Lonchura striata: one gene and its partners. The protein of the gene in region 1 purifies or fractionates together with the protein of each later gene. This does not show direct contact. Links are inferred from orthologs where the notes say so. Each region holds a gene or a part of one and is shown in the gene's direction. Other genes may lie near its edges. The genes, in order: protein POLR1D, POLR2L, protein UXT and CRCP.

Region 1 (7,613 bases):
TGAAAAATCCTGTATAGTCCATCCAGTGATTGTGTCAAATCTCTCCAATAAATAGAAACCACTTCCTCTTCCAAGTGACAGAAGAGCCAACAAGAAGAGGTGCTATGCTGAACATTGTTGTCACCAACAAAGAGGGTCTGGTACAGAACGTGAAGCTAGTCCATAGCCTTGGCTGCAGTGACCTTGGAATGGTGGAGTTTGAGGACCTTAAGGCAGCAAGCAGGGAGCACAGCAGGCTCTGTACCCCAGGCTTCAGGAGAGCAGACTGGCCTCTCCAGGGATCTGCTTGATTGAGAATCATGGGATAGCGGCCTTGAGGGAAGAGGAGCCCCAGAAAGCTGGTTAATATTCAAAGATCACATCCTCCAAAATGAGGCTTTGAGAAACCTGGTCCAGTGGCGGGTGTTCCTTCCTAGGGGGATTGAAACTAGATGATCTGTAAGGTCCCTCTCTACCCAAACCATTCCGTGATGACTCAATGATTTCTCTCTGTGGAACAAAGGAAAAACAGCCAGGCAAAACAGAACATCTATCACTCCATCCCAAAGTTAACCAACTCTTCCTGGGTAAAATTACCTTCCATATAACATTGATCTGACTCATTTATAATCTAATATTTGATCTGGTTTATTGTGATGACAGTGAGAAAATTCTAGACACTCTTAACAACATGCCACAACTCCAGAGCAATATCAACTTGCTTACTTGAAGCAAAAATGAGACTGCAAATATTGAGCTATATAACCCCAAGTTTCCACATCAAAAATAGTTTCCATTATTTGAATGGAAAAAATGCAAACCAATTTGAAATCTTGTACATTCACAAGTTATCTGACTTTATATCAAACAGCTGCATGCTTTGGGTTTTGTGTCCACCACCTAACACACAGCTCAGCAGGAAAGACTCTGCAAGAGATTCTGCCCCTGTTCCAGCCCGCAAATTATTTGCTGAACTGACATCAGCTGAAATAAGCACCCATGAGAACATAAATGACTGACATCTCTGGTACCACCAAAGTGCTTCAGAAACAAAAGACATGCCTGTAGTACTGCAGAGCACATTGCAAGAATGAAGCCAGGTCAGGTACAGCACCGAGACCCCCTGTAACACAACACTGGGGCTGGGGACATCTCCACATGTGTCATCAAGGTGCAGCCCAGCCCCATCAGCCACCTACACTATCTCATACAGAATACAGAGTAGTCAGTATGAAAACACATGACAGGTTCAGCCCATGAATTTAGCAAACATAAATCCCGAAAACACTTACATGCAGGCTTATCATTAAGCCTCATTGCAAAAGAACTATCTGGATGTTTAAAATCAAGCATATGCAAGCATAAATATCTACAGAATTTGAACAAAAAGAACACAAAAAGTACACTCCATAATATTATTAATTTTTACTGCTCCATAGATACCTTAACCTATCAATTATATAACTTAATACTAATATTTTAAAGCATTTTCATCTTCAAAAGGCACTAGAATTTCTAAAGGACAAACTCCACTGACCTAATAAAGCAATTAAACAGCATGCAAGTCAATGGCGTCACATTAAAAATGCTTCTGCAAACCAAATCAACAAAGAATTTCCAAATACCAGAGAAGCCACTGCCATATCAAATAGACAACCAGCTTCCTCTGGTGCCTTTTACACCAGGGAGCATTTTAACACGAAATAAATGTTGTTTTCTCATTAGTTACAGCCGTTCGTGTCTAGTAGCTCTTTAAACAAACAACATTTTGCTGATGCAAGGCAATAATTTGTATTTATTTAACATCTAGTACACATTTCACTTTGATATTGCTGGTATAACTTCTTCCCAGTTGCTTTCAAATATATTAACTTTTTTTTAGAAGTACAGAAAAATGAGATTAAATAAGAGGGGGGTATTTTGGCATATTTTCAGACATAGTTTTAACTGGTAGCTAACAAACTTCTGCTGTTTTTTCGTAATATAAATATATTACTAAAATATATATCCATAAATATATACCAAGATTGAGACCGCTCAGTATGGGTAAAGGCTTACAAAAAAAGAAACTTTCACTGAGGTGATTAGTGCTTCCATGGTAGCACATAATAAACAAATGCCAAATGTTGCAATGCCAAAGCCACCATTTTTGGCAGGACAGGTTTTAGTAAGCTTATTTTTTAACCCATCTCAGGAGAACAGTATTTTTCCACCCAATCACCTGCTTACATTCCTCTTGCAAAGTTTTGTCCCTAAACTGCCACATTTTTTATTGTTTTGGTAACAGAAAATTCAGGTGCAGTCTTAGGAAAAGGTACTACCTTTGCAAATCTCAGACCTGAGTCCAAGGCCCTGGGCTCCCTCATCCTGAAGTCACCAAGCAATGTAAAGGGTAAGTATAGTTAGAAATTCAGAACTGAAAACTCATGGCAAAATTATGAGTTTTAAGATCCATACATTTTCAAATTGCAACAGAACAAGCACTTTAAAACATAATATTATGACCTTTTTTATTTAAAAAAATCTACTTGGGCACAGTAGTGTTATTTGCAGCCTGATGACTCTGGAGTTAATAATTTTATATTGTACTGTGTTCAGGAGAGAGGATTCCTTAGATATCTGATAATTAGAAAAAAAGAATAATTATAAAGGACTCCTATTTAGTCTTACAGTTCTAGCAAGTACACTGATATAACTTGCTTCCATTTTAAGGAAATTTGTTTTAATAAAGACAGGGCAGCATATGGTACTAACATGTTTATTTTCCAAGTGGAAGGGACACTAACCAAAACCATCTGATGTTTCTTCATCTGATGTTTCTTCCTAAGCCTCCTTGAGCTGGATTGCAGCTTAGAATAAAGCATTACAAAGCCAGAAGAAGTGGGTAGAGGAATAAAAAAATGAGTAATTCAAAGTCTTTATCTAATGAGAGCACAGTTCAGACCAGTTCTTATTTTGAATATAAGTTTAAAAGTACTTATGATTGGAAATTTATTTCCAGAGACTATCAAATGTAGTCCAAAGCTAATCTGTCACAGACATTTTTTACTCTGCACACAGACAAAAACCAAACCCCTAAATCATGTAATTAAAAGAGGAATTAAAGGAAGCTCAGAAGTACTTAATAGATTTCTAGAGAAGCAAACAATCAGTACTGTGCATTATGAACACAGTAAGAAAAGTCACCAGGGACTACCAGATTCACCCCCACCAGAGCTCCAGGAACGGTTTTCTCAGTTAGTTGACCAAGTACTATGATTCCATCAAGAGCAATGGTAATTTTAAAGTACGCCTTGTTAAAAGTATAAAAGACGAAAACTTTTCTAACCACATTTTCAGTGCTAAGAGCTAACAAATGAGGGGACAAACCAGGGAGTGCGGGTCAGAGCTCCGAGGGCTAGCGTGAACGTTTGGAAACAGCTGCCAACCACACGGACTCAGCGGCATTTCGCAGGCAGCCCCGAGTTCCTCTGGCGCAGCTGTAAAACACACAACCTGAAACCCGCTCCTGCAGCAGGGGTTCGCTCGCAGCTGTTCTCTGCCTCCCCCGCACGCAGAAATCTGACTCCTCTCCAAGAAAGAGCTTCTTTAATGAAGCCACACGAGAGCAGCATAGGTGTATCGGGGGACCCAGAACCAGGCGCTTTCCAAGTGGGTCTCCAGCACCCGAGCTCACAGCTCAGCCTCGCAGAGACGCGCTGCAGGGGCCGCCGGGCTCAGCCCCGCCGCCGAGCCGGGGGCTCCAGGGCGGGGACGCTGCTCCGAGGATCCCACCTCAGCCTCAGCCACCTCAGCACGGCGGCTCCGGAGCTCTGCCCACTCCCGTACTTGTTGCCTGCGCAGAGCTCAGCCCGGCGCCGCCGCCCCCGCGGAGACCCCCGGTGCCGCTCGGCTGAAGGAGGCTGAGCGGGGCTGAGCGCCCGGCACCGCGCGGGGCAGGGGAGTTACTCACCGCGCCGGCTCCGCGCAGCGCTCTCCTCCTCAGCCGCGCCGGCTGCGCCCGCCCCGCCTTAGGGGAAGCAAACTCCGGGCAGCAGCACTTGGAGAACGTGTCTCGTCGGGCCGGGCCGGGCCGGTGCTCCCGCCTCCGCCCCCCGCCGCGGGCAGCGGCGCGGCCCAAGTGACAGCGGCGCTCCGCCACTCCGGCGGCGGCCCCGGGCGCGGGGCCGGCCGAACCGCAGCCTATGGCAGCGGGGCCGGGGCGGGACGCGCTGGAGCCCGGGGCCGGGGTGTCCCCGCCGCTCGCCTGATCGGCTGTGCGGAGCCCGGAGCGGTGGGGAGCGCGGGCGGGGCCGGCGCGGAGGAGGGGCCGGGTGGGGCGCTGCCCGCCCGGGGCTGCCCGCGGACCTGTCCCCGCCTGCCCGAGCCCTGCGGCCGCGCCCAAGGAGCAAACCCAGGGCGTCTCCGAGACTGAGAGCCCCAGCGGCGCTCCCACCCTCCCACACTCAGTCACCGCCCCGCGCCTGCTTCCCCCGCCCTGCCGGCGGGGCACGGGGGTCCTGCCCGCCAGGGAGCCCACCGCCCCGCTCTCCTTTTGGCGGGGGGCGCGACCACCGGTGCCGCAGGTGCCCGGCGGGGTGTGGCGGGGCCCGGCTCGCCCCGCCCCGGCTCCTCCCGCCGGGGTCCTCGCCGGCCCCTACGCCCGCCCCGCTGCCACGCCCCCCGGCCGACCGCGGGTGATGGCGCCGGCCTGCCCCTGAGGAGCCGCAGCGGGGAGCGGTGGGGCAGCCATGGAGGAGGACCCGGAGCTGGAGAGGTAGGGGGGAGCGACAGCGCGGGGAGCGGTCTCGAGAGCGAGCGGCCTCCACGCGGCTGCTGCGCCGCTCCGGGCCCGGCAGCGCCTCCCGCGCCGCGGGGCCCGGGCAGCGCGGGGCTGCGGCCGGCCGGCTCCCCCGGCCCGAGCGCTCCGCAGAACCGGCCCCGAGCTCCGCCGGGCTCTGCCCGCTGCCCGCAGACAGCCCCTCCTGTGGGCGTGCGGCCAGGGCGCGCCCCGAGGGCAGCGCGGCCTGGGGCTGCCTCTGCCGTGTCTTCCGCACAGAGCTTTGGGTGCGTGCTGATGTCGCTTAGAAACAGGATTGGAAGGTCTTGGATGGTTCACCCCTCATTAGCTACAATTTGATGAGTTGTGGACTTGGCAAAATAAATTTTAAAAATCCCAAAACACCTTGTGTTGTTAGAGATTTCAATTTTCAGTTGTGCCCTTTGACTAGTTGTTAGAATTGTCGTGTTCTTGTATGAGAAAAATACAAAATGGTTGGTAGTTATTTTGTCAAAAACTAAAACTGTTTTCTATTTGGCATTTCGTTGGAACCAGTGGATTTGTCTTGCTGCACGTTTTGAGTTGCAGTGCTCTCAAGCAAACACTGAGGAATAAAACATTGATTTCCATATTAGGATACTCAAAGTAGGCCTCTCTTGCTTTTGTTTTAGGAATAGACTTTTGGTGTTTATATCACAAATGTTTTGCAAAACAGTGCTATTTGTTTGATGGGAATTTGTTTTTGCAAGCTTATTTCTGGGTTGTTCATTTTCCTTACGGCTGTTTAAAACAACTGTTACAGTGAAGTGATGACCAGAAGCTTTCTGAACTGTTCTCATGGTTCTCTCCTTTAACTTTTAAGAAACCGTATCTGGGAATGCTTACCGAAAATAACTTTTTTCTATTTGTATCTGGCAGGTATTTGAAATGTGCCAAAAGCAATAGTACTGAGACAGTGGAAGGGCTAGAGCGCTTAATGCTTTCTAAGAGGCTTTTAATTCTTGCTGAGCTGTTTCTGTTCTCAGATCATTAGTTTAATAATTAAAGCTTCTTTTGGTGTATGCATGAATGTTATTTTTACTAGTGCCATTCTAAACTTAAACCTTTTTCATTCATGGCAAGTTGAAACCATGCCACTGTTCTTCCATGCTGTCTTCTGGTTGCTGCTGCCGTGCTGGGGGCCTGGGGTTCTCTGGGCAGTTCAGGGCATAGCTGACCTCACCAGCTGTAGCCAGCTGCTCCACAGCCACCTCCTGACTGATGCTCTTCTTCCCAGAAACTACATTTGAAGTTTTACCTTCCTCAAAGGCTCACTCCAAGTTAGGATTTGCTATTCCTGTTCTGTGGCAGTGTGGTAAATAATGAGGATGAAGCTCAGTGTCACTTGTCGAAGTGGCACGGTAGGGTTTAGCTGTTTGGTGTCACCAATCTGTGTCACTGTGCACCTCAGAGGGTGTTTAGTCGGCCCCAAACACATTATAACTACAGTGTAGTGCACTTGACAATTGGCTCTTCCTGTCCTCGATCCACCTATCATCAGTTACTTTTTCATACCTTAAGTTTTCATGACAGCTTACTTTGATAGTAGCACCCTGAACTGAATTCAGTTTGTGCTGTGTGCATTTAGAGGGTGTACTTTGGCACTCTAAATAGTGCTTCACTGTACAGTCTTCAGTACAGAGCCCTTCCAGTCTAACAGAGATCTTTCTTTATCCTTTGTGTTACAGATGTTATGTCTTAGATTCATACTCAATAACATACTGATCATATCATCCTGTGAATAGTGTAGTAATGGCAGTTTAGGCTTATAATTTTTAAGGGTTTTGTATTATGGGTTTAACATACAAATAATAGTGTTTCTGTTCTGTAGCCATAGTATTAATTCCTTTAGTGCATTTTTAGTGTTCAAAAATGGGTTTATGTGGAATATTTTGAGAAGTCTGTCTCTGAATCCAGGCTTGTCTTGCAATGCAGACTTAAATAAAAATTCAAGGTTTTTGTACATGTGCTTTTTATTTAATTAACCATGAGGGAGAAAGAAGCGTAATATTTTTGTGCATGCTTTTTCAGGTCAGAAATTAATTTTGTGTCCCAGTATTCCAAAAAGTGATCTGTTAAGTCAATCGCCCTATATTTTTGTTACTAAGAAGTCTTTTCTTCTAGCTTCTTTTATTTTTATCCTTACTGCCACATTTCCCAATATTATTTTTCAGTTTTACTGTTTCTGACTCTCACTTGATCTTGCTTTTGATGTTTTCCTCACTTTAATATGAAGTGAGGTTTTCCTCGAAGCTGAGTACTTATAAGTTCCTGTGTGACTGTTGCATACAGAATGCAACAGTCTGTGGGTTTTAAAACTCTAAAAGCTATAAATACCACAGATGTGTAAAACAGTAATATTTGCTACATTCTACTGAACTACATCCTCTACTCCATCTCACCCAGTAACCTCTGATGGAAGAAGTATGAACTAAGATTTTCCCCTGTGAACTTGCTGGTACATCAGTGAAGACCCTGAGCCTTAAGGTTCCATGTGATTCTTAAGAAAATTCTAAATTATGTTAGCATATGATTAATGGTATTTGAAGTTATGATGTAAGAAGGAGGTGGAAAAAGGGAATCAGCTAGTAGGAGCTGTTCACTTTCTTTCCTCTGCAAGCACCTGAAACTGCTTTTCCTAGTTTATTTCAACTAAATATACACTGAGATATTATGTAGGTCACCATTTTCATTCCTGCATAAAAAATGAAATCTTTCTTCCCCCTCTACTTCCTAAAGTATTGCCATTGTGGTTCTGTATGTTTGAAGCACAGAAGATGCGTTGTTTCTCTTCAAATACAGAGGAAGTGGCTTTGTTATACTGTGTGTCCATATC
Region 2 (7,575 bases), on another chromosome or scaffold:
GCATATTTAAAAAAACATATAGCAAGTATTAAAACCTGCTTTGAGGCCCTGAATGATGCTTTTAATGAAATCAGCAGCATCAGGCTTGTGTGGTATTACAGCAGAGCTGCAGTCACATCCCCAGCTTAGAGAGATTTCTCCTCATTTCTCCTTGCTTAGCAGCTTCAGTATTTGTTTCACTAAATCCAGGGGCTGAGCAGCTCTTACACATTGTGTGGGGCAACCAACAATGCAAAGCTCTACAGAGCAGATAAGTCTTTCCTGCTTCCATCATCCCTGCCTTTCCTTGGCCTTCTCCACCTCCCCACCATCACGTCACTACACCCAATAGCACTGTGGAGCTAAGGGAAGAAAGTCACTCACTAAAAAAATACTTTAAAAATAATCAAGGAGAAAACAAATCTATATTCCATCCCACTCTTTGCTCCTTAAGCCTTCATTTTTTAGAGGGGAAAGGAGGACTTCCAAAGACACCCTAGCTAGCTCCAGAGAGAACCACTTTCCTTCACCTTTTGTGGAAAAGGACGAACTACACATTTCTGAGTAGTTAACCAGGGCTAAAGAAAGCCCAGGAGTACGTCTGCAGGATTTAGCAAACTTGGAGGGGAAAATGTGCCTGAAAAAGTAACAGCCAAGCTTCATCCTGCATATTTGATTTTGTATCTTTCCCTCTTGTCTGACTCGCTACTGCCATGCAAATTACTTATATACATTGAACTTTCCATGTCACATTTCAGCTCCTGACTAATGTCCTATTTAACCACTCATTTCACAATTCATGTGAGCCTGTCTCTTAGGATTCTTCCCTCTCTGGCCTCGTTGGAATCCTCAAGGAGTAAAACACTGAATATGGTACTTCTGCCATTGTGCACAGGATTATGAGTGTTAGTTGGAAATGAAGAGAAAATTGTCAACATTCTTTCTCTAAATAACCACAGGGAGCAACAGACAAGAGAGCTTTTAACTCCAAGCAGGGCCAATAGGGCTACTCACAGCTTTATAGAAGTCTGCATCATGATCAATAGCACTAAAACAATCCTTCACAGAGAAGTTGTCATAAAAAGTCCTATATTTAAATAACAATTCACTACCCTTGAATACCATTGGCAAGTCAGGTCTTAAAAGACCCAAGTCGTCAGTTCTGGTCATTATCTGCATGTACACAAAATAAGCAAAGTCAGAAGAAGAGGAACAACAACAGGAGGTGAAAAGTAGTAAAGGTCAAAATTTTCCAGACCCGTGAGGGTGCGCACCTAAACCGGACCTTCTGCAGCCAACAGAGTAAAAAATACCTTTTAGCTAACAGTTTCTCATGCTACCAGTGCAAGTGCAGAGATCTCACAAGTCTTTCCTCCAGCCCTAATTACAGAGACAAGGTCAGAAAAGACACAATTTGCCAGCATGAGCTGCAGGAGGTCATATGGCCACTCTAGCTACAGAAGTATTTTAGGAGTAGTTCAATCCGCCGGGTCACTTAACTGACTTCATTTCTGTTTGTTTTTTAAACAAGCAGCAATATTTTCCCTCGCATTTCGTGGATGGGAGAACAGGAAGCAGGGTCTACTCCTTAATCACCAGCCTAGGATTTAAAGTGCACATCACTAACAATGCCATGGAGCAGCGATGCCTAGCTGCATTTTACAGATCTCAATCCACCAAAAACTGCCAAGAAGGAGCCTCATCCCAACAGTGACAGTGGGTCAGAACATTGTCAGCTTTCAGAAGTTGTTCAGATCACAGGAAGAAGGCGGGTGCATTATCTACACTGCCTCACAACAAATCCACGTGACAGAAGCTGCTCAAGCTGCTCCAGCTGCACATCAAGAAAGCAGCCCACAGTTCTCAAGCTTTCTTCAACTCGATTAATTCCAGGGCAGTCTCTTCTGCTTAATGCTGATGAGGCTGCAGTGGGTTTTCTGACCAGCAGACTGCCTGAAGGCCCAAAGAATCAGCAGTTTGAGGACTGCTACTTATTGAAGGTGGCAAGAGACCAGAAATGTGGTAAGAACTTACTGTGAGAAAGAGTTGTACTTCTCGTTCTAAGAGCTGGGACTTCAATACTTGCAATTCTTCAAAGGATGCTTAAAGAGACCCAGTTCTTGAATTCTTTCCGCCCTCTTCAAAAGGATGGCTGAAGAGATCAAATTTCACTAAACACTAACAGCTGAGTGCCATCAGTACTCAGCTCACCTGAACAAGAGTGGAAAGCTGACAATGCCACAAATGGCTCAAGCTGCAGTCCTCCTAATCAGCGTGAGCTAGCAGCCCATAAAACACTGACTAATTCCCAAACAGTCACATGTGTGCACATTCCCCCACAGCTCTTCTAAACAGACTTCTGCAGCTTGGCAAATGGTCAGATTAAGCAGAGGATATATGAAGTTAAGCAGAGAATGTTTTTGGTATGTAGCAGTCTCTCTCCAGGTTATAGTTCATAAAAATCTTTACAATTTCTAGGATCAAAGCAGCTACAGCCATGAAAGGCCTATTAGTTCATTAGGTCCCTCACCCAGCCAAAGCAGGTTACCCAGAAAAGACATGACAAAGTTAAAGTAATGGCGTGCAAACAAGCCAAGTACATTTTGCTTTGAAAAAAAAGACGCTAGGCAAAGTGAGATATGTGAACTAGGTCCAAAAGTTTAAGTTCAGTTTTGTTTTTAAGAAATAAGCGAGCACATTTCTACAAGGCAGCTATAAAATGCTAACCTATATCTAATGATGTGGCTCAGCTATGAAGCCGAGCTCCAGCTCCTCTTTCTCACTCTCAATTGCAAATTTCCATCTCTAAACACAAATGCCTTTTACCACACAGTTCAGTAAGAAAATTACTTTGGAGCCCTGGTACTGAAAATGCATCAAAGCACAATCTTCAAATTCTCAACTCCCCACCCCCTCCAGCCCCCGAAAGAAATGAAAGGATAAAAAGGAAAGACACGGTTTTGCTCCCACTGGCCTACAATAACAATAATGATCATAATCTAGAGATCGCAGGAGGTTGATCTACCCTCCATGCCAAGTCAATTCGCTCCATTCACAACTGCGCATAATTATTCCTGAGACTGCAAAAATTACTGTCTTTTCACTAGCAATAGAATTGTAAAAATGCTTTCAACCTCAAGTCCTTATTTATTAAAACAAAACTATTTGCTCTTTTACGGTTCATGTTAGGTCTGGCATTTCTGTGCAGAGGGTCAATAATCCAGTCGTTCAAAAAATAGTCACGAAAGACGTATTAACATAAGCTGTGCATTAAGACACAATTATTTATATGCCTGACATTAATGGCTCTGCGCTGTGCATTGTATCAACTCACAGATACTTTAGCTGGAAAATAACATCACTTTGGGAGAATTTCTGCTCTCCCAAGGACAATTAGCATAACGCTAACGCTGAAACGAGAGAGCAATAAGGATTGACAGAGGAATGCTTCATCCCAGAGCCTCCAGAACAGCGGTGCCCGTCCCCAAACTTTGTACCCATCACAGCACGCTTCCCTCCGCTGAGCACACACAGCCCGTGCCTAATGCTTCCCCAATGCTTAGATTAATGAAAAGCGAGTAAAGCAGTTTCGAGATGCACGATCCTCTGCCGCCAGAGCTGCCCGGCGCGGGTGCCCAGCGGGACCGGCCGCGCTGCCCCGGCCAGCCGCTGCCTGTGCCCCGAGCCGAGAGCTGCCCCCGCTGCGGGCACTGCCGCGGCAGCAGGCGGCACCGGGGCAGCGCGCACCGCTGGGAACCGAGCGGCGCACGGCTCTCAGCAGGGCGAGCAGCACCCCGGGATAACGGGACGGCGCCGCGTCCCGGCTGGCCGCGGAGTTTGGAAACTCTCGGCAACCCCGCAGCCAGCGCAGCGCCCGCAGCTCGGCCGGGGCTCGGGGGCGAGTGCCGTCAGGGAGACAGCGCCTGTCCGGGCTGCGCGGAGCCGCGAGCAGCCCGCAGCGCCGGGAGCGGGCTGTGCCGCCGCCTCCCGCCCGCGGGAGCCGCCGAGCCGCGGGCAAGCAGCCCCGAGCGACGCGGCTCCGCGATGCTGCGCTGACCGGGTCGCGACGCGGCTCCAGCGGCGGGTCCCACCGCCCCCCGTTCCCCTGCCCCGGGGGAGCGAAGGACACGCCGCGCCGGCGGGGCTGCCGCGGGGCGCCCCGGCTCCCCGTCAGCCCTGCCCGCCGGGATGCCCACCCTTCACCCTTCACCCCTCCGCCGGAGCGGGCGGGCGGCTGCCGCGCCGCAGCCACCAGTTGCGCTTCCCGCTGCGGTACCTCAGCCAGGACGGGATGAGAAGTCCGCCCGCTGCCGAAGCCCTCTCGCAATGCAACAAGTGCCCGCCGGGGCGCGGCGGGAGGAGGCGGCGCGGGGGCGGTCGCGGTGCCGCCGCTCAGCGCTCGGGGCGCCCCGGCTGCCACTCACCGCGCCGCGCGCCCGGCGCCGCCGCGAGCCCGCCCCCCCCCGCGCGCGCGCGCGCGCGCGCTCGCTCTCTTGGGCCGCCGGGGACGCCGTACCGCGGGCCGCTACCATCAAGTGCACAAGGGGGGAGTAGGGCCGCTCAACCCGCCCGCCCGCCGCGTCGGGCCGGCCGGCGGCGGCGCGGTTTCCCCCGGCCGGGCGCGGTGGTGGCGGCCGGCGGCCATCGGCAGCGGAGGAGGCGCGCGGGGTGAGCTGCGCGCGGGCCCGGGATCGGGATCGGGATCGGGATCGGGATCGGGATCGGCCGCTCACCTGAGGGAGCCCCCGGGCCCGGGCCCTGCAGCCCAGAGCCGCCGCCGGGCCGTGCGTGGCGGCGCGGGCAGCGCAGCCTCAGCGCGGCGGCGGAGCGCGGTGTCCGGGGCTCCGGCGGGGTCTGAGGCGGGGTTGGTGTCGTTGCAGCCACGGCGCAGAAATGATCATCCCGGTCCGGTGCTTCACGTGCGGCAAGATAGTGGGGAACAAGTGGGAAGCCTACCTTGGCCTCCTGCAGGCGGAGTACACGGAAGGGTGAGTTTGCTCTGTGTTGCTGGACTCGCGGCCTGTGTGAGGTACGCGGTGCATAAGGTCCCAGACGTGCTGCAGATCATCTCCCCCAACCTCCCTGCCAAGGCAGGGCCACAGGCACGAGTGCAGGGTCGCGGCGTCATAAAAGAGACGTAGGGAGGCTAAAAACTACAGGTACATTCTGAGGTTGTATAACCAAAGGTTAGAAATTGCAGTAGGCAACCGAGTACTTATTTCTCCACTGTATCTTTCAGAGCAGCAGTGTGGAAGTTGCTCAGTCTCCAAAATGTTCCCAAATATGTAACTCTGTGCACATTTCCTTGTTTCTTCCCTTCCCCTTTGATATACCCAATTTTGACACCAACGTGATCAGTTTCTTAAAGGGAGAGAAGAAAAAGAAGTGTAAGAAATGTTTAGCGGTTTTAGTTGTTGGGGTTGTTTGTTTTTTTTTTAAGCATTTTAATCCAGGGATGCTAACCTTATTTTTAAGTATTGATTTGCTGGAGAAAGAAGATTTAACCACTTTAGATACCCTACTGATAGTCCTAACAACTCTGTGGTAAGAAGTCTGTGCATCCTTTGCATAGCCAGTTTCTGCTAATAGTTCAAGGAGAGTTTTAACTATCCTGACACTACCTCAGGAGCTTTGAGAATAAAACTTGAGAAATACTTACATTTTCATCAAGTATGAAACAGAAAAAAATACCCATGGATGTTTGCAGCTCAGAGGAGTGAAAGAGAAATTTACGTGATGTTGAAGTAGAAAGTAGATGTTAAGTAGAAAGCAAATAATTTGGTTTGCATTCAAGTGGTTGGGGATCCTAACAGTTTTACAGGTAAGTTTATTTCATATATGGGGTTAAAAGCATTACAATACCATGGGTTGTTTTTTTTTTTTACTCCTACTACAGTTTACCAGGGCTTTTTTGATAGAGCTTCTGACATATATTCTAGGCATTACATTTTAATATTTTCCCTATCTTTATTATTCCTCTGCTTTTGTATAGGAGTTCTGTGTTGTCGTTGACAAATGCTCACTTGAAAGCAATTGTTGTGGTCACTGGCTTGATTCTGGGATGCTTGTTCAAACTAATGCAATTATGGTGTTGTAAGAAGTAGAGTTTACAGAGATCAAACAACTAAAATCTTACAGTGCAGTACTGGAATCACTGGTAATGGTGGCTTAAGAAATGGATGGACAAAATGGGAAAACTTGTCTAAAGAATCAGTAGTTGAAAAAGACATCCACGCCTTTCTGTTTGTCCCTTAAAAGTGCTCTTTTCCACAAGTCCTTGGAAGCTGGAAGAAAAGGCAAATGCAACTAAAGTTGTCTTATGCCTTTGGAAATTGTGATTAATGTTAGTATTTTGCATCCCTGATAACTGCATATGAGACTTCAGAACTCTCCAGATAGCTTTTAAAATTTACCTATCAACAGACATCAGATGCTTTTCTTCTCAAGTGTTTTGGAAAACTGTTACATCATGTGATGTTATTTATAAACATTCTTTAAAATGCCCCACAGTGTTGTTATACTCCTCTAAAACAAGTTTTGCAGGTGCTGTCCTAGAGCGAGCAGCCCTGCTGCACCATCAACAGTTGCAAGGACTGAGTGACATCAGAGAAGCTGCTGGAAGTTGGCTCCTGCAGTTAGCCTGTACTGCTTGAAGCCAAACAACACTTTACCATGGTCCAGCTTAGGCAGAGGCTTCCTTTCAGTCATTTGTATTTTAGAAAAGTATCCATTGGCCTATTCCTACAGGAGAATTATGAGTTCCAGGAAATTAAGTTTGTTTTGAGCAAACGCTTTATTGCACTGCATTATATCAGTATCATCATATAAACCTGAGATCAGTCATGTCTCGCAAATGTCACATTCTGAAGGAGTATCAGACTGGATTTATGGTTCATAGGTTGCAGCTAAAGATCGTGGTGGTATCGTGACCTTTAAGAGTCTGATAGCCACAGCCATGGAAAACACCCACATTGGTTCGGGCTAGGATGACTCAACATCCTCTACCCAAACAGAAGAATCTGGAGCAGTCACTCCAAAGGAATTCAGTGGAATTCAGTAAAACACTGATTTCTGACCAGTCTGCACCTACTTACTTGTATGTATGTGGGGGGCAGGTTGTATAACTGAGTGCCTTCTCCCATGGGAGCTGGAAAGGATTGTAGCCATCCTCAGAATTAACATCCCTATATGGGGGAGGTTGCCTTCCGAGTTATTTTAGTTTCTGTATATCTCACCTTTTTAGTGTGGCTCAGATCTTAAATTTATCTTGTGAAATAGACAAGAATCATCCTCAGTTTACAGAAACATGTTAAAACAGTGCCCTCTGAAAGCAGTGGCAGCTGGGGACCCTTCTCAGCAGCAGATGATGTGCTCTGGCCGGCTGGAGAATGGGCAAACACACTCAACAACACTTAAATGGAAAAGGGCATTAACAGCACATGCTGAATTTCTGTCTGTCTTTGAACTGCAAACAAATTTTCCTCTATGACTGAGCTCAAAGTAATCAGTGTGTTGCTTAGGAAACGCTTACAAGTAGTTCTGACTCACTTCATCTGTTATGTTTTTTAATTGTTGTTCGTTAATAGAGATGCCCTG
Region 3 (7,766 bases), on another chromosome or scaffold:
AGCGACATCTTAGCACATCTGGGGCTCACCTGGGGCACACTTTGGGCACCTGGGGCACACCTGGGGCACACCTGGGGCACACCTGGGGCACCTGTGGCGCACCTGAGCCCCGCCCGGCCGTGCCCCCCGCAGGTGCTGGGCTCGTGGCTGCCGCTGCTGGGCCCGGGCGCGGCCGAGGACCAGGCGCAGATCGTGGAGCTGGTGCTGGAGCGGATGCGGGAGGAGCTGCCCCGCCCCCGCAGCCCCTCCCCCGCCCGGCCACGCCCACAGGTACCCGCCCCTCCCCCACCTCCCCCTCCAGGTGCGCCCCCGGACCCCTCCCCAAAATTGAGCCCCGCCCTCCTTCCTGCAGGTGTCGGCGACATCGGGGACCCCCCGGCCGGGGACCCCCCCCCAGCAGAGACCCCAGCCCCAGGGTGAGTGACCCCGCCCCCCCACCCCAAAAAAATGGGCGGGGCCTCCTTCCCCTCCCCCGCCCCAAAAAATCCTCGGAGCTGTCAAAAACCCGGGGGAGCCTCCAGAATTCGGGGATTTGCGTCCTGGAATTGTTCAGGATTTGTTTTTGCTCAAAATGTGACAATTTCCACTAAAAAGGGGGAAAATCGGGGGTTCCCCAAAAATCCTCCTCAGGTTTGCCCCAAATCCTAAAAGTCAAAATCATTCCTAAAAACTCCCAGACGCGCAAATTTTGGGGAGCTCCTCCCTCCCCGGGGATGCCCTTCCAGGGCTGCCCCGCCCCAAATTTGGGGGGTTTTGCCCCAAATTGGGGCTGTGCCTGCCTCAGGCCCCGCCCCCTCAGGTGTTTCTCTCCCTTCCAGGTGCGCCGCCCCCGTCCGGCCCCGCCCAGCCCCGCCCCCAGCCGCAGGGGCAGCCCCGCCCACAAATGGGAGGAGCTTCGGCCCGCCCCGCCCAGCCCCGCCCACAAACCCCGCCCAGCCCGGCTCAGCCCCGCCCACAAACCCCGCCCGGCTCGCCACAGCCACACCCGCAAGCCACGCCCACCGCGCAGCCACGCCCACAAGCCACGCCCACCGCGCAGCCACGCCCACAAGCCACGCCCACCGCGCAGCCACGCCCACAAGCACCGCCCACTGCGCAGCCACGCCCACAAGCCACGCCCACCTCTCAGCCACGCCCACCCCTGGCTGCCTCGGCAGCTCAGCCCCGCCCACCCAGCCCGCAGCCCCGCCCACCGACCTCGCCCACGTCTCAGCCCCGCCCTCAAGCCCCGCCCACCGCACAGCCACGCCCACCCGGCCCAGCCGCGTCCCCTCAGCCCCGCCCACAAGCCCCGCCCACTTCGCAGCCACGCCCACAAGCCCCGCCCACCTCCCCTCAGCCACGCCCACAAGCCCCGCCCACCTCCCCTCAGCCACGCCCACAAGGACCGCCATCACCTCAGCCCCGCCCACAAGCCCCGCCCACTTCGCAGCCCCGCCCTCAAGCCACGCCCACCTCCTCTCAGCCACGCCCCCAAGCCCCGCCCACCTCGCCCCAGCCCCGCCTCCAGCGCTCCCCCTCTGTTCCCCAGCCCCGCCCCCCCGGTCCCCAAGCCCCGCCCACCCCCGCCTCGCCCCGCCCCCCCGGCCCCCAGGCCCCGCCCACCACCCGCCAGCCCCGCCCCCAGGCCCCGCCCCTCGCCCCCAAACCGGCGCTGGCCCCCAAACCGGGCGGGGCCCCTCCCCCCAGGTAAGTGGGTGGGGCTGGGGGGGAGGGGCGAGGGGCGAGGCCACGCCCCCTCCCCCCCTGAACCCCCAAATTCCGCAGCCCCGCCCCCGAGCAGGGCCCCCCCGAGAGCCTGCGGGCGCTGCGGCAGAGCTTCGCCAGCCTCTTCGAGTGACCCCGACACCGGGACCCCAAAATACCGGGGGGACCCCAAAATACCGGGGGGGACCCCAAAAATACCGGGGGGAACCCAAAAGATACCCGGGGGGAACCAGCAATACCCGGGGCTAACCCAAAATACCGGGGGAACCCCAAAAATACCGGGGGGACCCCAAAAATACCCGGGGGGACCCCAAAATACCCGGGGGGACCCCAAAATTACCCGGGGGGACCCCAAAAATACCGGGGGGACCCCAAAATACCCCGGGGGACCCCAAAAATACCGGGGGGAACCCAAAAATACCTGGGGGGAACCCAAAATACCGGGGGGGACCCCAAAAATACCGGGGGGACCCCAAAATACCCGGGGGGAACCCAAAATACCGGGGGGGACCCCAAAAATACAGGGGGGAACCCAAAAATACCGGGGGGACCCCAAAATACCCGGGGGGACCCCAAAAATATCTGGGGGTAACCCAAAATACCGGGGGGGACCCCAAAAATACCGGGGGGACCCCAAAATACCCGGGGGGAACCAGAAATACCCGGGGGAGCCCAAAATACCCGGGGGAACCCCAAAAATACCGGGGGGACCCCAAAATACCCGGGGGACCCCAAAATATTCGGGGGGACCCCAAAATACCGGGGGGACCCCAAAATACCGGGGGGAACCCAGGAATAGCCGGGGGGAGCCCAAAAATACCGGGGGGACCCAAAAAATACCGGGGGGACCCCAATAATACCTGGGGGGGACTGCAGAAATACCCGGGGGGACCCCAAAAATACCTTGGGAACCCAAAAATCCCACCCGGGGGACCCCAAAAATACCTGGGGGGACCCCCTGGTGTTCAGGACCCCCCAAAATCCCCCCAGGGATCCCCAAATTCCCCCCAGGATCCCTCAGAATCTGCCCAGGATCCCCCAAAATCCCCCCAGGGATCTTCAAAATCCTCCCGGGCGTGCCAGGACTTCAGCACCCCCCCCAAATCCCCCCAGCACCCCCCAAAATCCCCCCGGGACCCCCCAAATCCACCCAGGATCTCAAAATCCGCCCGGGGCCCCCCCCAAATCCACCCAGGACCCCCCAAAATCCCCCCGGGACCCCCCAAATCCACCCAGGATCCCCAAAATCCCCCCGGGGACCCCCCCCAAATCCACCCAGGATCCCCAAAATCCCCCCGGGGACCCCCCAAATCCACCCAGGATCCCCAAAATCCCCCCCGGGACCCCTCAAATCCCCTCAGGACCCCCCAAAATCCCCCAGGGACCCCGCAAAATTCCCCCAGGATACCAAAATCCCCCCCGGGACCCCCCAAATCCACCCAGGATCCCCAAAATCCGCCCGGGGACCCCCCCAAATCCACCCAGGACCCCCCAAAATCCCCCCGGGACCCCCCCAAATCCACCCAGGATCCCAAAATCCCCCCCGGGACCCCTCAAATCCCCCCCAGGACCCCCCAAAATCCCCCGGGGATCCCCTCCCCCCCCGCTCTGTGTTTGCCAATCCCCAGCCCCCGCCCCCCCAAATTGAGGGGGGGGTGTCTCTCCGCGCGTGCTCGTGAGTGTGTAAGCCCCGCCCCCCGCTTGGCCACGCCCCCTCGGCCACGCCCCGCTTAGCCCCGCCCCTTTCCGCCCGCGTGGGCGGGGCCAATAAATCCCCGAGCTGCTGGCGCTGGGTGGCTCCGGTGGGGGGGGACCGGGGGACCCCAAAATTTGGGGAGATGGGGTGGGGGAGGCACCTGGGGCACACCTGGGCACACCTGGGCACACTGGGGCACAGCTGGGCACACCTGGGCACACCTGGGCACACTTGGGCACACTGGGGCACAGCTGGGCACACTTGGGCACACCTGGGGACACCTCAGACATAGCTGGGCACACCTGGGGCACATCTGGAGAGTGCTGGGCACACCTGGGGCACAGCTGGGGAACACTTGGGGACACCTGGGCATACCTCAGACACACCTGAGGGCAACCCTGGGCACACCTGGGGGTGCCTGAGGGCACAGCTGGAGAGTGCTGGGGCACACCTGGGCACACCTGGAGATACCCGGGCACATCTGGGGACGCTCAGGGACACCCGGGGAGTGCTGGGCACACCTGGGGACACCTGGGCACACCTGGGGACACCCGGGCACACCTGAGGGCGACCCTGGGCACACCTGGGGGTGCCTGAGGGCACAGCTGGGACACACCTGGAGAGTGCCAGGGCACACCTGGGCGCACCTGGAGGTACCCGGGCACATCTGGGGACACTCGGGGACACCTGGGGAGTGCTGGGCACACCTGGGGCACACCTGGGCACACCTGGGGACACTTGGGGACACCTGGGGACACCCGGGCACACGTGGGGCACACCTGGGGCATAGCTGTGGGTGCCTGAGGACACAGCTGGGCACACTTCGGGACACCTGAGCACAGCTGGGGCACACCTGGACACACCTGGGGGTACCCGGGCTCACCTGGGTGCCCTTGAGGACAGCTGGGCACACCTGGGGCACACCTGGGCCACACTTGAGCACACATGGGGCACACCTGGGCCACACGGGCACACCTGGGCCACACCTGGGGCACACCTGGGGACACCTGGGCACACCTGGGGCAGGCTCGGGGCACACCTGGGGCACACCCGGGCACACCTGGGCACACTTGGGCACACCTGGGCACACTTGGGCACACCTGGGCACACTTGGGCACACCTGGGGCACACATGGGCCACACCCGGGCACACTTGGGCACACCTGGGGACACTTGGGCACACATGGGGCACACCCGGGGCAGGCTCGGGGCACAGGTCGCGGCGCTCCGGCTGCTCTCCCGCCGATTGCGCGGCGGCCATGTCGCGACATAGGGGCGGGGTTGGGGGGGGGGAGGAGCCCGGGTCCTCCCGGCCGCCAGGGGGCGCCCGGCGGCGCGCGGCGCTGACGCAGTTCCGGCGCCGCCGTCAGAGGCGGCATGGCGGCGGCGGCGGCGGGGAAGGCGCAGCGCTACGAGGCGTTCGTCAGCGACGTCCTGCAGCGGGACCTCAGGTGGGAGGCGGCGTGTCGCGACATCACCGCGACATCGCCGCGACATCGCCGCGACATCGCCGCGGGGCTGCGGCCGCGCCCCCCCCGCCCCGGCCCCGCTCATTCATCAAACCCGCGCGCCGCGGCCACGCCCATTCCGCGGCCACGCCCCCCGCGGGGTCGGCGCCGTGGCCACGCCCCCTCCCCGTTAACGCCGCAGTGCGGAATTCCCGCGCGCCCTGGCCACGCCCACGCGCGCCATGGCCACGCCCACGCGCGCCCTGGCCACGCCCACGCGCGCCCTGGCCACGCCCATCTAAGGGTCAGGGCGGGATTTCGTTTCGCCTCGAGGCCACGCCCATTCTGAAGCCACGCCCCCAAGTCAACCCCACCCATTCACAATGATGCCACGCCCATTTGATGATCACGCCCATCTATAAATAATTTCCATTCAGCTTGAGGCCACGCCCATTTTATGGCCACGCCCTTGCATAAATATTTTCCATTCAGCTTGAGGCCACGCCCATTTTATGGCCACGCCCTTGCATAAATAATTTCAATTCAGCTTGAGGCCACGCCCACTTTATGGCCACGCCCTTGCATAAACAATTTCCACTCAGCTTGAGGCCACGCCCATTTTATGGCCACGCCCTTGCATAAATAATTTCCATTCAGCTTGAGGCCACACCCATTTTATGACCACGCCTTTGCATAAATAATTTCCATTCAGCTTGAGGCCACGCCCATTTTATGGCCACGCCCTTGCATAAATCCTCGCCTTTTTTGAGGCCACGCCTATTTCACATCCACACCCCGCATAAACCCCACCTATTCACCTCTAGGCCACGCCCATTTTATGGCCACACCCTTGCATAAATAATTTCCATTCAGCTTTAGGCCACGCCCATTTCATAACCACGCCTTGGCATAAATTTTGCCTTTTGCTTTGAGGCCACGCCCATTTTGTGACCACGCCCCTACCTAAATGCCTTCTATTCACCACGACGCCACGCCCATTTTATGGCCACGCCCTCATCAGCACCACCCATTCACAATGATGCCACGCCCATTTTATGGCCACACCCTTGCATGAATAATTTCCATTCAACTTGAGGCCACGCCCATTTTATGGCCACGCCTTGGCATAAATTTTGCCTTTCGCTTTGAGGCCACGCCCATTTTTGGCTACACCTTTATCAGCCCCACCCACTCACAATGATGCCACGCCCATTTTACGATCACGCCCTTGCATAAATAATTTCCATTCAGCTTTAGGCCACGCCCATTTTATGGCCACGCCTTTGCATAAATTTTGCCTTTCGCTTTGAGGCCACGCCCATTTTATGGCCATGGCTTTGCATAAATTTTGCCTTTCGCTTTGAGGCCACGCCCATTTTATGGCCACGGCTTTGCATAAATTTTTCCCTTTCACTTTGAGGCCACGCCCATTTTTGGCCACACCCCCATCAACTCCACCCATTCACCACGAAGTCACGCCCATTCACGACCACACCCTCCACATGATGACCACGCCCATTCACAAAAACCACGCCCACTCCCACACCCACCATTAACCTCGCGGCGCGGCCACGCCCCCCGGGCGAGGCCACGCCCCCTGAGCAGCGCCCCCCGCAGGCGGGTGCAGGAGCAGCGCGACGCCGTCTTCGAGCAGCAGGCGCAGGTGCTGCAGCTGCGCGCCGCCCTCGCCCGCCTGCAGGTGCGGGGGGCGTGGCCTGGGGAGGGGCCTGGATGGGAATTTGGGGGGCTTGGAGGGGGTTTTAGGGGGGTATCGGGGTGTTTCCGGGAGGGTGCGGGGGATTTCTGGGAGCCTCGTGGGGAGTTTTGGGAGGAATTGGGGGGGAATTGGGGAATATCGGGGGGATTTAGGGGTTATGGGGGGTACTGTGGGGGAATTGGGGAATATCGGGGGGATTTAGGGGTTATGGGGGGTACTGTGGGGGAATTGGGGAATATCGGGGGGATTTAGGGGTTATTGGGGGTCCTGTGAGGGAATTGGGGAATATCGGGGGGATTTAGGGGTTATTGAGGGTCCTGTGGGGGAATTGGGGAATATCGGGGGGATTTAGGGGTTATTGAGGGTCCTGTGAGGGAATTGGGGAATATCGGGGGGATTTAGGGGTTATTGAGGGTCCTGTGAGGGAATTGGGGAATATCGGGGGGATTTAGGGGTTATTGAGGGTCCTGTGAGGGAATTGGGGAATATCGGGGGGATTTAGGGGTTATTGGGGGTCCTGTGGGGGAATTGAGGAATATCGGGGGGATTTAGGGGTTATTGAGGGTCTTGTGAGGGAGGGACTGGGGGTCTCTGGGTAGATTTGGGGTCCCCAGTGGTGTTTGGGGGTTGGGATTTGGGGTCCCTGGGGGTGTTTGGGGTTCTCCAGGTGTGTTTGGGGCTCTCTGTGTGACCCCGGGGGTCCCGGGGGGTTTTGGGGTCCCCAGGACGTCGACGCCCCCCTGCACACCCAGGTGGATCTCGGCTGCAATTTCTTCGTCAGTGCTGAAGTGTGAGTGGGGCTGGCACCCCGAAAACCTCCTCAGACCCTCAAAAACCTCCTCAGACCCCCAAAAACCTCCTCAGAACCCCCGAAAACCTCCTCAGACCCCCAAAAACCTTCTAAGACCCCCCAAAACCCTCCTCAGACCCCCCAAAAACTTCCTCAGACACCCCAAAAGTCTCCTCAGACACCCCAAAAGTCTCCTCAGACTCCCAAAAACCTCCTGAGAACCCCAAAATAACTCCTCAGACCCTCCAAAAACCTGCTCAGACCCCGAAAAACCTCCTCAGAACCCCAAAAACCTTCTCAGACCCCCCCAAAAACCTTCTCAGACCCTCCAAAAACTTCCTCAGACACTGAAAAACCTCCTCAGCCCCCCCAAAAACCTTTTCAGAGCTCCAAAAACCTCCTCAGACTC
Region 4 (7,159 bases), on another chromosome or scaffold:
GTTGAATATTTTGCTACTTTCTCCAAGTGAGCTCCTGCAGTGCAATATTTTTCCATGTACATTGTCCAAACCCCTCACAGAGTTTAGGAAACATATTCCAGCTTTCTCATCCACGGTTTTTGTTGTATTTTCCTCACTTAAACTGACCCTCTTGTTTGTTTTCTACTGTTCTCTCAGTTCTACAACTTATCCCCTTTTCCTTTTTCCACTGGGAAACTGAAACAGTTCTCGATTCTTTTGCAGTCCTATTCCTTCCTCTTGTGAAATCCCTCGCTTTTACCACCTTTCTTGTCTTTTCCACCTTTTCAAAATGTCCTTTCCTTACTCTGGGCTTTGACAGGAGATCGCCAATATGCTGTGAAAACATTAAGCACTGGGTTTATAACTAGAGTGAGTGGGTGTAAATAAGATTTTGCTAGCCTGTGTCTGATATTACATGTGACAGGGGATATTCCATCCACATGGGATCTGTCAGCAATGCCACTGTGGATTTAGCAAACTTCCCAGGGATTAGTTGGTTTGGAGTGCTCTGCACAGCTCCTGCCCCAGTGTGTATCTAGGAAATGATGAATTCTCTCTTTATTGTTAGATCAAACAGGCAATAATTATGTTTTCTGTATAACAAGCAATGTAGGATGTAGATTAATATATTCATAATGAGTGTGGAATTAAAACAAAATAAAAGCAGAATTCCTCAACTTAAAAATGAACATTGAAGAAATAGGATTTCTTAAGGATGCTTAGAGTTGGAGAGTTGAACTTTGTTGAAGGGAAAACAGTAAAATAGCAATGCAAAATATACTTTCTAATGCAAACTGAATTGTATTCTCATTACTGTCTTCTCCATTTGCTCTGTTTTGGATGTCTCTCCACTTCCCATCACTGCCTCTCAGTGATTTATTTGAAACAGAAAGATTAACCTCAAAATCCCCATCCCACAGTTAATACTGGGGAGGTTCTGAAGGAAAAGTCTCTCTCTTATTTTCCTTTCTGGCACAGGGCATGGCAAATCATTCCTACCTCAATATTCCCAGCTTCACCCTTTTCAAGGTGAAAATAAGTACTGGAGGGTAAATTGCCAATTCTGCAGAACAGAGAAGTTTAATTAAATATATTTGGATGTTCTCAAATATCTGAACTTTATTTGTACTTCTATAGTCCATCAGTCTCTCTCTACTATTTCACTTTTTTTGCTGAAAGAGTGCAATGCTGAAGGAGTGCAGCTCCAAAGGAGCTTTGGTGACTCTGGAAATCCACTTTTCACAACAGGACTGTGAAGGAAAAGGATAGCTGAAACAGCTACAGTGCACCTTCTTTTAAAAACATTATTTTTTTCAGCTGTCTTTTGCTTTGGAGAAAGAAAACAGCTCCATGGGCTGAACGTGCCATGCAAACGCACTGTCAGCTCACCTGACACGGAGCCCTGCTGACATATTTTTGTTCAAAAAAACCCTACCTTTGTTTTTAACTCATTTTTCAATGAAAAAAGGAAAAAAAAAAAAAAGGTGGAAAAAAAAAGAAAAAAATAGAAACCGTAGGGTGCTGAGCAAAATGCTGAACGCAGTAAACATCTTTCATGACAAAGAACACAAATACCCTGCAGATCTGCTGGCAATAGCAAGTCCTGGGCCCCCTGCTTTCAACAGTTAATACTGAGGCCCCTCTCTGCCCAAGCCTTGCTGGTAACAATCACAATGTTAAAATGTTGACATGCTAAGCACATTTGGGAAAAAAACCCATGTCTGCATTCCCTATGGATGGTGTAGCATCACTGTCTAACACCTAAAGAGCAGCAATTAAAACCAAAGTGACCTTCTCACCTCACCCCCTGCCCCGCTGGTTCTCTCTTGATATTCCCTTTCATGATGGAGCTGAGCCATATTTGTATTTACAGCCTGCCAGGCTTCCTGTCTCCGCTGGGAAATGTTTAGGAAGTCTCTATTAGGGAAAAAAAAATGCTGTTGGAAGAGGTGTCGTGCTCCCTCATCCCCAGGTGGGTTGTAAAATGCAGCACTGATTGGAAAAATGTGTCAGGAAAGTGAAATTTTGGGGAAGGGGTGGAAAGAAATGTGTCAGGAAATCAAAATTTTGGGGGAGGGGTGGAAAAAACATGTCAGGAAAGCAAAATTTTGAGGAAAAGGTGGAAAAAACGTGTCAGGAAAGTGAAATTTTGTGGAATGGATGGGAAAAACATGTCAGGAAAGTGAAATTTTGGGGAAAGGGAGGAAAAAACATGTCAGGAAAGCAAAAATTTGAGGAAAAGGGTGGAAAAACATGTCAGGAAAGGAAAATTTTGAGGAAAAGGTGGAAAAAATGTGTCAGGAAAGCGAAATTTTGGTGAAAGCGTGGAAAAAACATGTCAGAAAAGTGAAATTTTGGGGAAAGGGAGGAAAAAACATGTCAGGAAAGTGAATTTCTTGGGGAAATGCAGAAAAATGTGTCAGGAAAGGGAAATTTTGTGGAAAGGGTGGGAAAAACATGTTAGGAAAATGAAATTTTGGGAAAAGGGAGGAAAAAATATGTGAGGAAAGCAAAATTTTGAGGAAAAGGTGGAAAAATGAGTCAGGGAAGTGAAATTTTGACAAAAAGGTAGGAAAAATGTCAGGAAAGTGAAATTTTGAGGCAAATGTAGAAAAAAACATGTCAGGAAAGTGAAATTTTGAGGAAAAGGTGGAAATAAATACAATAATTTGCTGCTGGGGGAGAGATGTAAAGAGATGTAAAGGACACTTAAGATAATTGTGCTGAAGGTTCTGAACCTTTAGCTGCAGAGGGTGGTGAGAGGCAGACAAGGATTGACAGATTTCTGGAATGAAACCCTGAAATTTGATTGTCTGGAAATACAGTATTTTCACATGAAACCTGCCATCTTTTCCCTTCTTTCAGGCAGCTGCACGTGGAGGGTTTGGGACATGGCAGAGCAGCCACAGAATTTTTACTGTGCCAGTTTTGGCCAACTTACAAGGCCAGTTAATCCTGACATGAAAAAGGGCATCATCCATCACATCCTGTGCTCTGAATCACACAGCAGCTCTCAGACTTCTCTCCTGGCTCTTTTTTTATTCCACAGGACTCCACAATAAGTTATTTTGAAATATAAATAAATTTCTATCCGTGTGTGGTGGGGCGCACATGCCCACCAAAACTTTTTTTTAGGCGTTTTCAAATTAAAAGGGCTGAAAAGCCTTTGCAGTTGGCTTTTAAATTTTGTCCAGCACTTTTATATTTGGTGATGGAAATTCCTGGAAAACTGGGAGCTGCTCCTTTCCAGCTGTCCTGGCACTGCAGACTGTTCCTAAAGCACCACAGTTTGCTCGTGTTACTCTGAATTAGTTTAGGATTTGCAATACCCCAAGGAGAGGAAAAGCCTTAATTTTGTCTGGTTTAGTCGTGGAGAAAACAGTGGCTGGTGGGTTTTGTGCTGGAATTGCAAGGCAGAGGTTGCAGGCACAAGGTTGACTCATTCAGTTCCCTAAATCCCTAAAAGTCCCTTAAATCCCAGCTGCAAGCAAGCAAATACATCTGTATGACACTCCTTAGGGAGTTAGAGGTGCTGCATCTGGATATAAAATTTTCCCTGAGAGATAATATCAAAATTAAGGAATTCTATTTCCCTGGCCAGGTAATTTTCCTTGCGGTTTCCATCAGGATTTTTAGCTGTTTGCACTCATTGAAATGAAGATGGTTTTACTGAGGATGAAAAGAGCTCTTGGAAAATTTAACAGCACATGGTTTAGACGGGAAAGAGTCACGGTGACAGCTGGGGAAGGAACGGTGCTGATAAATTGGATGGATGCATCGAAAAACAACAGGAGTATTGCAAAAACACTTCAGCCCTGCAGCACATGGCTAAAGATTTGATTAAAAATATTTTCGCGTTACTGTTTTGCCTTGGTCACAGTTAACAGCGGCTAATTGCCAATTTGAGTAATTTCGGAGACAAATGACAATTTTCTGACTGATGTATGCACAAAGGCCGTGATAAAAAGTCGTCTCTCATCGCCGGCATTGGTGGTTCAGTGGTAGAATTCTCGCCTGCCACGCGGGAGGCCCGGGTTCGATTCCCGGCCAATGCAGCTGATATTTTCCGGTTTTTCTTGTTTTATTTATTTATTTCTTTTAAGTTCCTTATTTCTCCTTCCGCTTCCGTGTCGGCCGCCAAATCCTCCTTCAGCTCCACGGGGCCTCGGCCGGCTGCTCCCCCGCCGTGCCCCGCCGGGCTGCGGCTGCCCCGGGGGAGCGGGAGGATCCTCGGGGAGGCCGCGCCGGGAGGACGAGATGGAGGTGTAAGGACCGGCCTGAGGGGGGCACGGGGGAGGACAAATGGAGGTGTAAGGACCGGCCTGAGGGGGGCACGGGGGAGGACAAATGGAGGTGTAAGGACCGGCCTGAGGGGGGCACGGGGGAGGACAAATGGAGGTGTAAGGACCGGCCTGAGGGGGGCACGGGGGAGGACAAATGGAGCTGTAAGGAAGGGTGTGAGGGGAGGACAGCGGGGCTGCGGGGCACCTCAGTGGGGTTTGTGTGGGGAAAAATCTCCGTGCGGCTGCATCTCCATGGGAGTGGGGTGTGTGTGGGCACATCTGTATGATTTATTAAAAAATCTGGATATTGATCTAGTACCGATGTCCAGCTGTGATGGACAAACACTCTCTAACAGTTTAAAGTTAGACAGTGTGTGTTTATTGTGTGCGGGATTGCTCCCAGATACACACCGCAGCTTCCAAGTGATTACAGCGCCCTTTTATCCGTATTGAATACCCAAAATACAAATCCATATTAATCATTTTGGTACATCCCATTCCTCACTTCCTATGCTAATAATTTCAAAAGCCATTCAGCATGCTTGGTTTGTTCCTTGAAATGGGTCGGTGTCCCTTCCATGGGGAGGGGTCCCAAAACGAGGAAGTAAATGAAGTCTTCATCTTCCTCGTTCTGACCTTTCTACCTTTTCAATGCAAATATGACAAATTAACTCTTGGTGGAACTCCCATTCCTTGTCTTCAATTGGTTTCAGAACAGAGTGGGCCGCAATTGTCTTATGTTCCTAAAAGCTATTTGTCAATTTATATTCTTCATTATAAACCAGCTAACTAAACATTGTGCTGACAAGCAATCAATTATTAACTACTAACTCTTTAACTTCTACTAATCTATTTAATTAACTCTAGTAAGGCTTATCTCTAACTAAAATCTTAGCTCCTCTAAAATCTCTAAATTCCTTAAAATTTACATTTCAAATCCGTGAGGGGTGTGAGGGTACTGTGAATCTGTGATGTGAAAAACACCAATCACTTGGTTTTTAAAATTTTGAAAGTTTAATAATAATAAAATGGTTATAAAAATAGTAATATAATTAGAGTAATAAAATTTAGAGTTAGGACAATTACAAGGCAATAAAAAGCAAAGAATTACAGACGTCCAGATGCTCTTGGACGCTAAGTCATGAAAAGCATCCCTTGTGAAGAAAGGAATAACCTTAAAAGCAACAGCCTGATGCATATTCATATATCTCATACATGAGATACATAAATTCTTCGTAAATTAAAACTTTTTGGTTTTGTCAACTTCTTCTCCTTAATCCTGTTGGTTCCACAAAGATGGAGAGAAGGTGGAAGAATTTTTGTCTTTTCTGATAAGGAGGCTGTAACTTTTTATGGGCCCCCTTCGCTGACATCTCTGTGTGATGAGTTTATTGATTATCTGATCTTCCTGCTTGAGATTGTAACAAATCCTATATCACAGAGTTTCTATTTTAACATTATGTTGTAAGCTAAAACTACATTTAGCACACTACTTAAGAGAATTAATACAGCATAACTTTCTAACATTACACATATAATATTCATTTGCAGAAAGCCAATCATAAAATATGCATTTTTCACACGTGAGGGATGTGAGGGTACAGCTCCCAGCAATAAGTTCAGGTGTTCTGCTCAATGTCAGAGGGGTTTATTTTATTAAAACTCCTGCTGGACAAGCTGTTGGGGTGAAAGGTGGTGTGGCTCAGCCTGGCTCGCTCTTTTCGCCTCCTGTCTCCTCCCTCTGCCCTGCAAGAGGCAAAATGAGATTTTTTCATTATTCCCATGAGCTTTGTGTAGGAGCTGGAAATGCTGGAGAAGGATAAAACCTGCGGGGTTTGTGCCAGCCACTGCAAGCACAATAAGAGAGTCAGAATTTTGGCTGGTGGCTCTTTCAGGCCTTCTTACTGTGTGTTTCAGGTACAAAGCAATAGGATTTGACCTGTTTTGACACTTAAAATCTCACGAGTTCTGTGGAGCTGGTTAAATTTCTAGTTTTCATTTAATTTTAATTTCTCTAATGGGTGGGGGCATTAATGGGATGTGTCTCCCAAAATCACTGAGCTTCTGCAGCCCTGTAGTCCAGGGATGCTTTATTATCATGAAATCTTCTCTACTGTGAACATGAAAATCAAAATTTGATAAAAAATATGAAACATCTGCTGAAGTACAGTGAAGTGCAGTCTTAATGTGAGTAGCAGCCGGCAGAGAAATGATCTGTTCTGGCTGTTGTACACTAAGAAAAATGCTTTTACCATTTATAAAAAAATCTGTGATGCTTCTTACACATCCACTGAGTTTTTATTAATCTTCTTTTGCCTCCTGCCTGATTTGGAAGGGAAGCTTTGCAATTCTCTAAGTTCTTACTGTGGATTTTTCTTACCAGAATTATTCTGTATTTCTTACCAGAATTATCTGTTATTAGAGAAAAGAACTCTCAGAAAACAGTGTGGTTTAAATATACAACACATGTGAAACAGCAGACTTAAAATATGGATGTCAGTGATTTTTGTAAAGATGTGATGCCCTTTACCAAGGTATTTTTTGATATATTCAGCCCTACTCAAGAGTATTTTGGTTTAGGCTAAAATTTGGGCAAATACGAGCTCTTTAAAGACTCTAAAAAGTGTTTATATTTTTGCTGTTACCATGAAAATTTTCACCTTTCTGCTTAAGTCTTAATCACATAAAAATTAAGCAAAGTGTTGAGCTGACTGCTTAAAAATAGACATTAGAATCCATTACTCAGATTTCTTTGTTTCCTGACTGTAAAATTGGGAGCTGCGAGTCAGGACAGAAGGAAATTTCATTTCTATTGCAAATGCTGATCAATTTATAATTTTGGCATTTCGGAGCCG

Evidence for each region.
Region 2: the proteins of protein POLR1D (region 1) and POLR2L purify together in Homo sapiens (affinity purification with mass spectrometry; 4 studies listed by BioGRID and IntAct, with this or other methods). This does not show direct contact. The link is inferred for Lonchura striata from reciprocal best matches to the Homo sapiens genes POLR1D and POLR2L.
Region 3: the proteins of protein POLR1D (region 1) and protein UXT purify together in Homo sapiens (affinity purification with mass spectrometry; 3 studies listed by BioGRID and IntAct, with this or other methods). This does not show direct contact. The link is inferred for Lonchura striata from reciprocal best matches to the Homo sapiens genes POLR1D and UXT.
Region 4: the proteins of protein POLR1D (region 1) and CRCP purify together in Homo sapiens (affinity purification with mass spectrometry; 5 studies listed by BioGRID and IntAct, with this or other methods). This does not show direct contact. The link is inferred for Lonchura striata from reciprocal best matches to the Homo sapiens genes POLR1D and CRCP.

The regions. Positions count from the first base shown.
Region 1 is NC_134604.1:69,173,874-69,181,486, reverse strand, and holds the start of protein POLR1D, read left to right. Parts: upstream 1-4,604; 5' UTR 4,605-4,709; coding exon 4,710-4,735; intron 4,736-7,613.
Region 2 is NC_134608.1:44,947,141-44,954,715, reverse strand, and holds the start of POLR2L (DNA-directed RNA polymerases I, II, and III subunit RPABC5), read left to right. Parts: upstream 1-4,572; 5' UTR 4,573-4,647; intron 4,648-4,859; 5' UTR 4,860-4,872; coding exon 4,873-4,967; intron 4,968-7,565; coding exon 7,566-7,575. UniProt on the Homo sapiens protein: DNA-dependent RNA polymerase catalyzes the transcription of DNA into RNA using the four ribonucleoside triphosphates as substrates.
Region 3 is NC_134638.1:954,277-962,042, forward strand, and holds the start of protein UXT, read left to right. Parts: upstream 1-4,766; 5' UTR 4,767-4,779; coding exon 4,780-4,853; intron 4,854-6,467; coding exon 6,468-6,549; intron 6,550-7,292; coding exon 7,293-7,357; intron 7,358-7,766. Other genes in the region: uncharacterized protein LOC110481730, read left to right, coding at 133-270, 333-416, 819-1,627, 1,768-1,840. UniProt on the Homo sapiens protein: Involved in gene transcription regulation. Acts in concert with the corepressor URI1 to regulate androgen receptor AR-mediated transcription. Together with URI1, associates with chromatin to the NKX3-1 promoter region.
Region 4 is NC_134622.1:6,502,761-6,509,919, forward strand, and holds the start of CRCP (DNA-directed RNA polymerase III subunit RPC9), read left to right. Parts: upstream 1-4,140; 5' UTR 4,141-4,278; coding exon 4,279-4,286; intron 4,287-7,159. UniProt on the Homo sapiens protein: DNA-dependent RNA polymerase catalyzes the transcription of DNA into RNA using the four ribonucleoside triphosphates as substrates.